Mus musculus: one gene and its partners. The protein of the gene in region 1 purifies or fractionates together with the protein of each later gene. This does not show direct contact. Links are inferred from orthologs where the notes say so. Each region holds a gene or a part of one and is shown in the gene's direction. Other genes may lie near its edges.

Region 1 (3,645 bases):
CACTGCTTTCATTTTCTTCTAGCAAAGCCTTTTATTGCTTTCGGTAGTGGGATGAAATCTTTGGTGGAAGCCACAGTGGGCAGTCAAGTCCGAATCCCTGTGAAGTATCTCAGTTACCCAGCTCCTGATATCAAATGGTAACTACTGGAAATAAAAGCAAAGCATTGATTCAAATGAGGTCAAATCCTTCTATTGCACTACCTCCTGGGATTGTCTCCCTTAGGTACAGAAATGGAAGGCCCATTGAGTCCAACTACACAATGATTGTTGGCGATGAACTCACCATCATGGAAGTGACTGAAAGAGATGCAGGAAACTACACGGTCATCCTCACCAACCCCATTTCAATGGAGAAACAGAGCCACATGGTCTCTCTGGTTGTGAATGGTGAGTCCATTCAGTGTCTCCTCTGCCAAAAGTTTGCTAGGGAAGAGAAAGAGTGCATCTTCATGCATCTCCCATCATTCTATTGTCTCCTGTTATGTCATCTGCATCATTAATGGGGCCAATGCATTAAGAAAATGAGAAATGACCCAGGGAGGTGGATTTGAAATGAGATGTGGTCTGGCATCCTGTGGGCCATGCTTCCTTGATAACTCATGTGAAGGTTCTGTTGGTGGTCACCTGCAAGGTGAGAGGAGATAGTACCCCCTAACCAAATGCCTCTGGGCTCACTCAAAGCTTTGTGAGCTCCTGTTGCTCCTGTCTACAAAGCTATATAGAATGAAGACTTAGGAGACCCTCCTCGTGTTTTGTGTGATGTTTTAGTCTGAAGATTTAGATGCTTGATACAGAACTCCACACAGGAGACCTGTGGAGTCCAGGATCACTGAATAACTTGCTGTCCACAGTCAGAGGTCATACTTAGAGTCTGTCCAGGAAAGCCAGGAAAGACTGTAAGCTTTTGATTTAAGAGTGTTTTAAACTTTACTTTCCCAGACTGAATGTTATAATTAAGTATTTGAGTTCAAGGTAGAAAGGTGCCACGGTCAGGTGAGTGTAGCAGGTACAGGACTGACTTAAAGTGTCTTTCTTACAGGACTTCCTTAGAATCTTCATAGGCTAATGGCTATTGTCTTCTCTGATGGGAGAGACAAGAGTATCTGGCATTTAGCTAGATTATTTGACTACAGCACTTTTCTCCCCCAGTAAATAGATTAATATTTTGCTCCAAACACAGAGGCATGCTGCTGGTGTAACTCTTTGTTCTTCTTACTGGCACCACACATTAAAACGTCAAGCAATTGTCTCAGTCCAGGAACGTACTGCCCACGCGTCTCGATCCTCCTCTGTGTATCTTCTGAGCATGGCTTCGTTTCTTTTTTCCTCTAGGGAGTATTTTTTAAAGATAACAGGTTCTGGGAAGGCTGCTTAGAAGCAGCATGGATAAAGGGGATGCAAGAGAGGGGAGGACGGCAGAAGCTGATTAAATACAGGGAAAAGAAGAAAATAATCGGGCAGCAAAGACAGAGAGGCAGACAGGGGGCAACCCCATCTCTCCACTTCACCAAGTCACCACTTTCAGTACACCCCAGCATTTCCCTTGCTGTGTGTGATACATACAGAAGCCAAGCTTCTGTTCCAAAGCCTGTGTCTACCTTTGTCCAGGATCTTGCTATATATGAACTGCTATATATGATGCCCTTGGGCAAATCTTTTAATATTTTCCCATTTCCTCTCATGTGTAAGGTGAAAGTCATAGCCATGATAACGAGAACTGAAAGTCAGCGTGGAGCACCTCAGCAAGACTGGGCATACAATAAATGTCTTTGCTGCATCATTCCAACTGCTTTCTCTCTGTACCTTCTCACCCCCTTCTTGCTGGGCTGTAGGGCATGGAGAACAACATCTCTCATGTAAGAGCGAGAGAGTGTCGCACAGGAATGTATAGCTGGCCTGAAGTCACTCGGCTTATCAGGGTTTTAGGGTTATGAGAGCCTAAGAGTTCGGGTCTTCTGTGTCCAAGTCTAGATGTCCTTCAGAAAAGCAAGCAGAAGCAAAATCATATGAGTACATAAGGCAGATCTGGTTGCTGAAATCCCCTCTATTCCTCAAAGCAATCGGGCAGTTCACAGGTTGTCTTTTCTATCTCCAGTCCCACCCCAGATCGGTGAGAAAGCCTTGATCTCGCCTATGGATTCCTACCAGTATGGGACCATGCAGACATTGACATGCACAGTCTACGCCAACCCTCCCCTGCACCACATCCAGTGGTACTGGCAGCTAGAAGAAGCCTGCTCCTACAGACCCGGGTGAGTGGGGCTGTGGGCTCTGTTTCACTTGCCATCGTGCGTCCCTTCTTGCCAAGCCATGCCAGGGTTCCGTCGAAACCCGGAAGGCTGTCTCCAAGGTTACCCCTTCAGTGGTACTTGGACTCATTCCCCCGTATCCCACTATGCGAGTCAGCTCTTTCTCCTTAGTTAGCCCTGGTGGATTCCTCTCCAAAGGGATACTACTTGCTGCGTTTGCTAGATGCCAATCATCGGATCATCTTCTGTCTGTGGACTGCAGAGGACCACACTGCTCCTCCTTATCTGTGGGAATGTCCATCTCTCAGAGGAAGTGCTGGTGGATGCGAGGCAGTGATAAACCTAGCCCAGGCCTCGAGAGTCTCAGGCCCAGGCTTATCAAGGTCTACCACAAGTGCAGACATCCTTAGGGAAAACAACAGCCACCACCTTCAACCTACCACCCCAAGCATTCCACTTCCTGTTGTTGTTTTTGAAATAGCAAACCCGAGTTTCTTCCTCTGCTGCTGGCCATTTCCTAAACAAAAGCCCGCAGTCGGTCCGTCCCAGAGAGGTGACTTTTAAGAAGCCCCAATGGCTTCCAAGTTTCCTTACCTTCCTTTGAACTAAGTGAGCTTGAATTGTCTTGTCGATCCAATTTATGAATGGAGACTTGTTCCCAGAATAGCTGCTTCCCTCCTGTATCCTCAGGACCTTCGCACTGTTGTGTATAGGCATCTATTTTTAATTGGCGCCAAGTTCTGCGAAGTGTTCGAGTGTGTCGAGGGTTATCACTAGGAACGTGATAACCAGAGGCTGACCCTTTCCGGCACTCCTGAACGAGAGAGAAGTCAAATCTTGACATGCTGCGCTTTCTCCCTCTTCCAGCCAAACAAGCCCGTATGCTTGTAAAGAATGGAGACACGTGGAGGATTTCCAGGGGGGAAACAAGATCGAAGTCACCAAAAACCAATATGCCCTGATTGAAGGAAAAAACAAAGTGAGCTTAAACTTTTTGAGTTTGATTCTCTCTCTAATTCTTATCTCTGAATAGAAGGCGGTACAATAACATGCAAAGGTATATCAAAGGTATATTGGAGGCTAATAATCGGTATGTGTGATGTCATCTATAACATCCAAGTTACAGAGTCAACCTAGGTAGATCAAGAAAGTGTGAGTTACACACACACACACACACACACACACACACACATACCCCTTCAATCTTAAAGAGGAACAAACTTATGCCATTTGCAGAAAGATGAGATCATCACATGAAGCAAAATAAGTTCGACTTAGCAATGCACATATGATTTTCCTACATACGAGTCAAGATAAAATAAAAGACATCGGAGGTAGAGAAGACTATTTGGGAAGAGGAGAGGGATCATTTGGAGTGGAGTGGGGGAAGACAGAA
Region 2 (4,137 bases), on another chromosome or scaffold:
GGATGCCTGCCCAAGGATGCTCCTCACACTGTTTAAGGGACTGAGAGTCTGGGTTGGTTTTGTTGTTCTTGTTGTTGAAACAGGTCTCACTATATAGCGCTAGATATCCTGGAACTCACTGTATAGACCAAGTTGGCCTCAAACTCACAGAGAGCTGCCTGCCTATGCCTCCCAAGTGTTGGGATTAAAGGCATGGGTTACCATGCCCAGCTAGGACTGGGGTTCTAATTTCAGTATTATAAAACAAACAAACAAACAAACAAACAAACAAACCAAAACTAACCAATCAAAACACCTCAGACAATAAACCCTTAAAAGATATAAGGTGCTCTGTCCCATCTCCCTTCTCCAGCAGCCTGTGTCCCTTGCTAAGGAAGATACCAATATAAATTGGGCAGCTTGTTTCCCCTCTGGTCTTGGCTTGGTAGTATTTGCATCTTTTTTTGTATTCATCCTGGGGTTTACATACACAAGGTCCCATAAGCCTGAAGGCTGAGCGCTCCTAAAGTTTAAAGCCCTCCCTGTGAGCGTCTGCCCTTGTTGGGACCCTGGCCATAAACCCTAACCTTTAGGAGATACCTTCCCACCCCACCCCTCCCTGCTGACAGTCAGGGTATAGGAAGGAGGCCTAGGCCCATGATGACAGAGCTGCACAAGGTTGCTTTGTGGGGGCTCTCAGCTGTGATGATAGCATCTCCTTTGGACAAGGAGTCTATTGACTACTGTTCTTTGGGTCCTGAGGGCTGGCAAGCAGAATTCAAAAGTCATTGGCTTTGAAACTATTTAGGTCTGAATCCTGCAACTCACTAAGGGTAAGACCTGGGGGCAATTCCTCAAACTTCTTGGCCTCAGTTTCCTTGTCTGTGAAGTGGGGATAAAGATAGTGCCTGAGGAATGAGGCCCTGGTGACCTGTAACTCACAGGAGGCATGAAAATGACATTGTAGCAATGAGTCTGGCAGGCTGCGACACTCCATTAAATGACGGTGCCACTGCACACGATCATTATTAGACTGTGCCTAAGAATAATTCTGAGTAGAGGCAGCTGCTGGAGGAGGAAGGGTTGACCTGATAATGTGGATATTCACTGTGCGTGACTCTTGACCTGCCACACGTGTGCCTTACCTCTTGAGTCATGAATATTTACTGCCTTGCCCCTGTGCCTTTGTTGGCAGACTGTGGGAAGTGGGCCCTCCCCCACCCTGCCACCCTCCAGCTCCTCTTCCCTCGCTCTGAAAAGAGAAGTTCTAGTGAGTTCCCCTAAGGGGTCGGCCGCGCCCCTTCCTGTCTCCGCCCTGCTGGCTGCCCCAGGCCAGTAGAGTGGTAGCCCGGGGAGCAGGACTGCAGGTTGGCTTTGGAGGCCTGGGCTCTGAGAGCCTTGCCTGAGGCTCATCTCTAGAGTTTGTACGTGCCTGCCCAGACAAACTGTTCCCTCCACATTTTCTGCAGCCAATTCAGTGAGAACCCCAGGATGGTGAGGTAAGGGCCTGGGACCCATGGAGGATAGGAAACAAGGGTGGCTGGAGCCCTGGGGATATTCCCTCACTGCCCTGTGCACTTTTAGGTGGTTTCACCGGGACCTCAGCGGGCCTGATGCAGAGACCCTGCTGAAGGGCCGGGGAGTCCCTGGGAGCTTCCTGGCTCGGCCCAGCCGCAAGAACCAGGGTGACTTCTCCCTCTCAGTCAGGTGGGTGGCCCTCCCTGCACCTTGGCAGCTCATTGTGTGGGTCCGGAGCATTCCTGGGTTCCCTGGGTTGTGTTGTCTCCTCATGATACATTTCTTCCCTTCTGTCCCTGCCTGTCGCCCTAGCATGTGCCCATAACTGTCTATGTCTACTCCATGCCTATGTGCTTTTGCATCGAGACCCCTGTCCCCCCAAGCCCACCCCGCTGCTGCTCATGTATCTCACTACCTGGTGGTGCCTCGCAGGGTGGATGATCAGGTGACTCATATTCGGATCCAGAACTCAGGGGACTTCTATGACCTGTACGGAGGGGAGAAGTTTGCGACGCTGACAGAGCTGGTCGAGTATTACACGCAGCAGCAGGGCATCCTGCAGGACCGAGATGGCACCATCATCCACCTTAAGTACCCACTGAACTGCTCGGACCCCACCAGTGAGAGGTGAGGGGCATTGCAGGTTGGCCCTGTCCCTTGAGATAAGTGGACATCCAGACCAGGTGTCCTTCTGTTCCCAGTCCGTTCTTCATCCCTGATCTTCCACACCTGTTCTCTCAGTGTTCTCAGCCTCTTCCCTCTGTAGGCTGATGATTCCCATGTATCTAACCAATCCCCTGTCCCCTGAGGAAGCCAGAGAAGGGTTCCCCTTGCCTTCCTGCAGGGTTCCTGCTGCCTAGCAACCTCATCCTGAGAGTAACAGAGAGGCCACTCCTTGTCTCTGGTGTTTCTCATCAGGTCGGCCCTATTACTAGAAAGCTTGTCCTACCATGGAACTCTGGTGCCTTCTTCCAGCCCTCTACACAGCCTGGGGCTCTAGGTCCCTGTCTTAATAAGGTCTTAGAGGTCCACTGGTACTGGGGTACTCAGGGACTTCTCTCAGCATCACACTGAGGTGGGGCTGGACAGAGCTTGGTGAAAGCAAGGTCGCTGAGGTGGTCACAGGTAGAGAAGGGCCCAGGCTTATCTGACTTAAGGAGACCCTCAGGATATCCCCAACTAGTGCTGCAAAGACACGGCCCCCATAGCTGGGCTGGCTGTTCTCTTGTGGTCTTCTCAGAGCATGTGCAAAGGGAAGGTTATGGAGATAAATGTCCCTCATTCATTACACTGGGGCTCGTCTTAGCTGTATAGCACAGGGACTGACTGGCAACCCCTATTAACTCAGGGTTTTCTTATGGACTCTGGGGCTCTGCGTACCTGTTCCTGTCCTGTGTCTGTGTATTTACAGTTGAAATGATTCCGAACTTGATCCCCACACCCTTCTCTGCTGGGGCCTGAACCCGGGGCCTTGTCTGAGTTGAGTGAGCGCTTTGCCACTAGCTACCTTCCACGCAGTTTTAAAGTCTGTTTTGAGATTCGTGCCTACAAACTTAGCTCAATAGTTTTGTTCACAAGTTACTGACTAAAACTGAGGACTGAAGGTCTAGGGACTGTGGCTCAGGTGGTGAGTGCTTGCCTGCCATGCATTAAACACTGGGTTCTATTCCCTGTCGTGCATAAACCTAGTGTGAGTGACACGTGCCTGTGAGCCCAGGTGGAGGCAGGAAGACCAGAAGAAGGTCAAGTTTATCCTCCATTCCATAGCAAGTTTGAGGCCGGATAGGGCTCCATGAGACCTTGACTTAAACTAAAACAAGCGGAGTGGAGGTGGTACCATAGGCCTTTTATCCCAGCACTCAAAAGAGGCAGGGGAAGGTGGATGTCTGGAAGTTCAAGGCCAGCCTGGTCTATCAAGTAAGTTCCAGTACAGCCAGGGCTCCACAGAGAAACCTTGTCTTGAAAAACCAAAACCCCCAAACAAAACAACAAAAAAACTCCAACCCAAACAAACAAACAAACAACCAACCAAAAAAAACCCTCAAAACACAAAGAAAACCACAAACAAACAAACAAAGAAGCTGGAGGACACTCCCTAGAAGGCTTTCCTCTTCTGCTGGTGAGTGGGAAGGGAGGGCCTGCCCCAGGTTGTCTCTCCTCTCCTATCCTACCTGCAGCCCTCAGGATGGTTTGGCCTCTCTCTCAGATTCGCTTTGAGCCCCTTGTTTTCTCTTTGTTGCTGACTCAAGCCAGGATGCGCCCTGCTAGAGTAGACCATGGAGGTACAGCTGAATGGTGGCTGCAGTGTTCCCTGTGATCAGGAAGGAGGTGGGAGCTAAACAGGTGTTAGGAGAACAGGCCAGGGCAGTGGGGAAGCACAGGACACCCTGTGGATGATACCCTCTGACAGGGCTGCGGAGGACTCCAAGGGACACTTTGGATGGCCATTTGGGAAGAAGCTGTCTCATCCCTAACCTTAGTGTGTGTGGAAGCCATGACCCAATGGCTCCTCTCTTTGCCCCTCCTCTTCTGGGAAATTTGCATTTGTCCCCTCAATAGTGAACTCTCTGCCTGTGGTCTGTTCACATTTGCATGGAGACTTCCTCATCCTGTCCCTGAGGGAAGGAGCTGAGCCCCCTC
Region 3 (4,175 bases), on another chromosome or scaffold:
GCTAATACTCCATCCTAATGTACACTCCTTTCCCTGGGCCTCCGTTCCAGTTCAGTTCTCAGAGGACCTGGAGGGAGTGATTGGCTACACCAACTTTGCTTTCGTTCACCAAGCCCATGTCTCTACTTGGGTGTCTAATGGGCATCTCCAACATTACCTACCCCAAACAGAAAACCCTTTCTTCCCCCCACCACACCCCACCCTACCCCCACAGTATTTTCTCCATGCCCGGAAAGATCTGCTCTCTTATGGTCCCTCTTTGCCTCACTGAAAAGCAGGACAAGTTGGGGACTTCCCAAACTTTTATGCATGAAGAAACCCAGGCAATTTGCCAAAAGGTACACTCTGGGGGTCTGTCATTTACTCTGAGCCAGAACCCTGAAATTTTTACTAACCCATCACATAATGAATGAAGAGAATCTTTTTCTTTTTTTTTTTTTTTCTTTTTTTTTGGTTTTTCGAGACAGGGTTTCTCTGTATAGCCCTGGCTATCCTGGAACACACTCTGTAGACCAGGCTGGCCTCGAACTCAGAAATCCACCTGCCTCTGCCTCCCGAGTGCTGGGATTAAAGGCGTGCGCCACCACGCCTGGCTGAATGAAGAGAATCTTGACCTCATCTCCCCAGCCTCTTGGTCCTGAGGGACCCTGGTCTACCTACTGCTTTGCTGTCTTCTTAGCTCTTCTTACTTTTTTGCTGACTCAGACCTATGGCTATCTCCATTATACAGATGAGGAGACTGAGGCATGGATCCCTGGTTGGTCCATGGTCACGTGAAGCCCATCACCCAGTATTTGTAAAGTGAGATGGGCCAGGCTGGTACCTTGGAACTGAAACTCACACTGCCCTACCTGGAAGAATCTGACAGGCAAAATCTGCTGCTGAAAGTGATTGTCTGTCACGTTTCTCAGCTGCCCGACTCTGAGAACTCCACAGCCCCCTTTCGTTCCACCATACTACAGAGTCGCCACGGAAAGCCGGCTCTGTGGAGAAGCTGAGGTAGCTGGGTTTCTGTCTGGGTTACTCTGTCCAGCGAGGAAACAAGTACCTTAGACCCACTAAGCCTCTGCTTTCTGAACTGTAAAGTGGGGGATATGACACCTGCCTCCCAGGGATGGCTGAATGCTCTGGCAGAAGCTTAGAGCCCCCACAGCTACCCCTAGGCTCACAGCTCCTCCGATGAGACCTAGAATTGAGGTATGAGTTGAATACCCCAGGCAGGTCCAAGGCTTCCACGGGCCCAGGCTGACCAAGCTGAGGCCGCCCACCGTAGGGCTTGCCTATCTGCAGGCAGCTCACAAAGGAACAATAACAGGAAACCATCCCGAGGGGAAGTGGGCCAGGGCCAGTTGGAAAACCTGCCTCCCTCCCAGCCTGGGTGTGGCTCCCCTCTCCCCTCCTGAGGCAATCAACTGTGCTCTCCACAAAGCTCGGCCCTGGACAGACTGCAGTGGAGAGAGCCTTCTGCTCACGGACAAGGTAAGTGAGACTCCCAAATCCCTCTCTACTCCTGTCTCATGGAGATAAAACTGGGAGAGTCCTGGCTTGCCCGTATGGGATGGCCACTGTAGGACTCTCAAGGGAACACAGCCTCTCCGGAGCCTGAGTCTCTCTGCTGGGGCCAGGGTAGGGCTAAAAAAAATGCATATCTCTTAGTGTGCAAGGACACAAACGGTTATCTCAGAACCAATGTTCAAGAAAGACTCAGCAGCCTTGTAAGTAGACTGTCGTACTCAGGGAAACTCCAGTGACCTGGAGCTTCTATGACTACCAGGCTCAAAGAGGATAGGATTTCCACTGTCACTCAGCAAGGACAAGGGCAGAGGACTGGAGTCTGGACCTTGGATTTGAGTAGGATCTGCTTTGTGTGGGATGGACAAATAACGGCTCTGTGATTCCCTTCCCTATCTACCAGGATTAGCTCTGCCTTCTGCCCAAAGGACAATCTGGTCCAGAGCTAAAGAGATAGATTTCCCAAGGTCTGACTTATATTCCCCTGCCCCGTTATCTCTACCTACAACACCTCGAGGGACTAGGGTGGGATTTGGGGAGCTGAAAGGGGTACTCGTTCCCTCTGTCAATATCTCCCACTTTCAAGATGGGCCTTCTGAGGTTCAGCTCTGGGCACTTGGAGTCCCATTTATGAGCCCTCTTCCCTCATCTCCCCTAGACTCTCAGAGCCTGCTTTGTGTTTCGGCAGTTGCAGGCAGGAAGGTAGCCTGTAGTTTCTCCCCCAACACCAGATACTCAGAGCCCAGAGCTCAAGAATTCTTGTGGCCGTACAGCTCAGCAAAGTCTCTGGAAGGCCCTAGAGACAAGGACCTCTGAGCCAAAAGCCCAGCTCAGAGACAGTGACCCTCGGCACTGATCCCAGCCTACTCACTTCGGTGTGGCCTTGGGACGGTAACCTAAGGTCTCCAAACCTTCATTAGGAGAGGACATTTTTGGATGCAATTCTATTCACAATCTGTGGTGAGCGGTGGAGATGGTTCATGCAGAAAGAATATTCCGACAAAACAATGGCTCCTGGATTTACTATCCAGTCCCAAGGAGGTAGATAGGGTAACTCTGTACTCAGAGACAACAACAGAGATCCAGAGGAGAGTTAGTGTGAAAATTGAGTCAGAATGACGATGGGAACTTAGATTTAGTCCTCCTCAGCACGGGCTCTTCCTGGAACCTGTGACTACATGGGGTCTCTGGCTTCTAGACCATAAAGTTGTAGAAACATCTTCAGTCCTTACTTGTGATATACACTCTTGGCTCTGGGCTTAACTCCTAATGAGAGGCAGATAGATAGCCAGGGAATCCTGAGTGGATTTACCCACTACCCCATAGCCATAGGTGGCTGTGAATACCACAAAGATTTGAAACCACAAAGCACAAGTCTCACACCTCCTGTTAGGGGGTCTCACCCATGTGAAAGGAAGGGCCAGAGTAAGAGAGGCCATATACTTAGCTACCCCTGCTGCAAGCACCTCCGGGCATCTGCGTTCATTAGTTACCCCTGGAGGAATGTGGCAGGCAAGCAAGACTCTAATGACAGTGGATGACTTCAAGGTTGGAAGCTTGAAGGGTCTGGGAGGCTGGTGGGTTCTGGGTTCTTTAGAACTGGGTTGAATGCTGAGTCGCAGAGAGGATTTTGACAGCCCAGAACAATTAGTGGGCAAGAAAGACACAAAACTCTCCTGCATCTGGCCTGAGCCCAGCCATTTGCGGACTGGAAAGTACCAGGTGACCCCAAGGGGCCAGGGGCAGCTGATCCTCAGGGCAGTCCTTCAAATTCTAACTTTTCACAATTAGGAGCTAGAAGAAGTTCCCAGTACCTTGAAGGGGTTAACCTGCCTACCCCGTAGTCTCAGCCCGACCATTGTGCAGCTAAACAAGAACCGGACATAGAGCAGGAAGCCTGAAGGGCCACACTTTTTTTCTCCCAAAGTTAGATGAGTCACAGTTGCACGGGAACCTCGGAGACACCAGCCACCGTTCTAGCAAAAATCTCAACCCCTGGCTGAGTGGACCATTTCTGGTTGCTTCCATCACCTCCTTAGCACCCCCTCAGTTGACATGAATAATTCCCAAGTGACTGATGGGACCTCTGGAATCCAGAGAGGCTAGCCAGACATGTGGCCACATAGTATAAAGTGGGAAAGGGATAGGGCTGACCCCATAGCCATACTCTATATTGAAATTTAGAGAAGAGGCAATCATATACAATTTAGACCACCACAGCCAGTATAAGGATAAACTGGGAACTGCCCTAAGAGAATGGTTCTACTGTTGTTGGAGAAATATAAAAAGTTCATCATAACCCTGCTCTAAGTTGGCATTGAGAGGAGAAATTACAGAGAACTTCTTGAAGGAAGGGTGGGAACCTGGAATTCTGGGAAGACTCGCACAGCTCCCATAAACTCAGCCTTGGTCTCCCGTCTCTCTGCGTGTCAGAGGATGATTCTGACTGCCTGGCAGATGCACAGGCCAGGAGGGAGAAATGGGGCTCAGGGGTGGACAGATAGTGGTGAGTGATATTTACCCCTGGAGAAGAACAAGGAAATGGGAGGATGAGCCTACGGCAAGACCAGGAAATTAGGTCAGATGTGAGGCAGCCGGTGGAATGCACAGACCAGAGAGGAGGAGGTCAAGACACCTGCATATCTGGGAGCGCTGTCTGTGTA

Evidence for each region.
Region 2: the proteins of Kdr (region 1) and Ptpn6 purify together in Homo sapiens (affinity purification with western blotting; 3 studies listed by BioGRID and IntAct, with this or other methods). This does not show direct contact. The link is inferred for Mus musculus from reciprocal best matches to the Homo sapiens genes KDR and PTPN6.
Region 3: the proteins of Kdr (region 1) and Cdh5 purify together in Homo sapiens (affinity purification with western blotting; 3 studies listed by BioGRID and IntAct, with this or other methods). This does not show direct contact. The link is inferred for Mus musculus from reciprocal best matches to the Homo sapiens genes KDR and CDH5.

Annotation. Positions count from the first base shown.
Region 1 is NC_000071.6:75,961,317-75,964,961, reverse strand, and holds part of Kdr (vascular endothelial growth factor receptor 2 isoform 1 precursor), read left to right. Parts: intron 1-22; coding exon 23-137; intron 138-223; coding exon 224-387; intron 388-2,095; coding exon 2,096-2,252; intron 2,253-3,116; coding exon 3,117-3,228; intron 3,229-3,645. UniProt on the Homo sapiens protein: Tyrosine-protein kinase that acts as a cell-surface receptor for VEGFA, VEGFC and VEGFD. Plays an essential role in the regulation of angiogenesis, vascular development, vascular permeability, and embryonic hematopoiesis.
Region 2 is NC_000072.6:124,730,287-124,734,423, reverse strand, and holds the start of Ptpn6 (tyrosine-protein phosphatase non-receptor type 6), read left to right. Parts: upstream 1-1,269; 5' UTR 1,270-1,470; coding exon 1,471-1,478; intron 1,479-1,563; coding exon 1,564-1,686; intron 1,687-1,929; coding exon 1,930-2,124; intron 2,125-4,137. UniProt on the Homo sapiens protein: Tyrosine phosphatase enzyme that plays important roles in controlling immune signaling pathways and fundamental physiological processes such as hematopoiesis.
Region 3 is NC_000074.6:104,100,254-104,104,428, forward strand, and holds the start of Cdh5 (cadherin-5 preproprotein), read left to right. Parts: upstream 1-1,371; 5' UTR 1,372-1,479; intron 1,480-4,175. UniProt on the Homo sapiens protein: Cadherins are calcium-dependent cell adhesion proteins. They preferentially interact with themselves in a homophilic manner in connecting cells; cadherins may thus contribute to the sorting of heterogeneous cell types.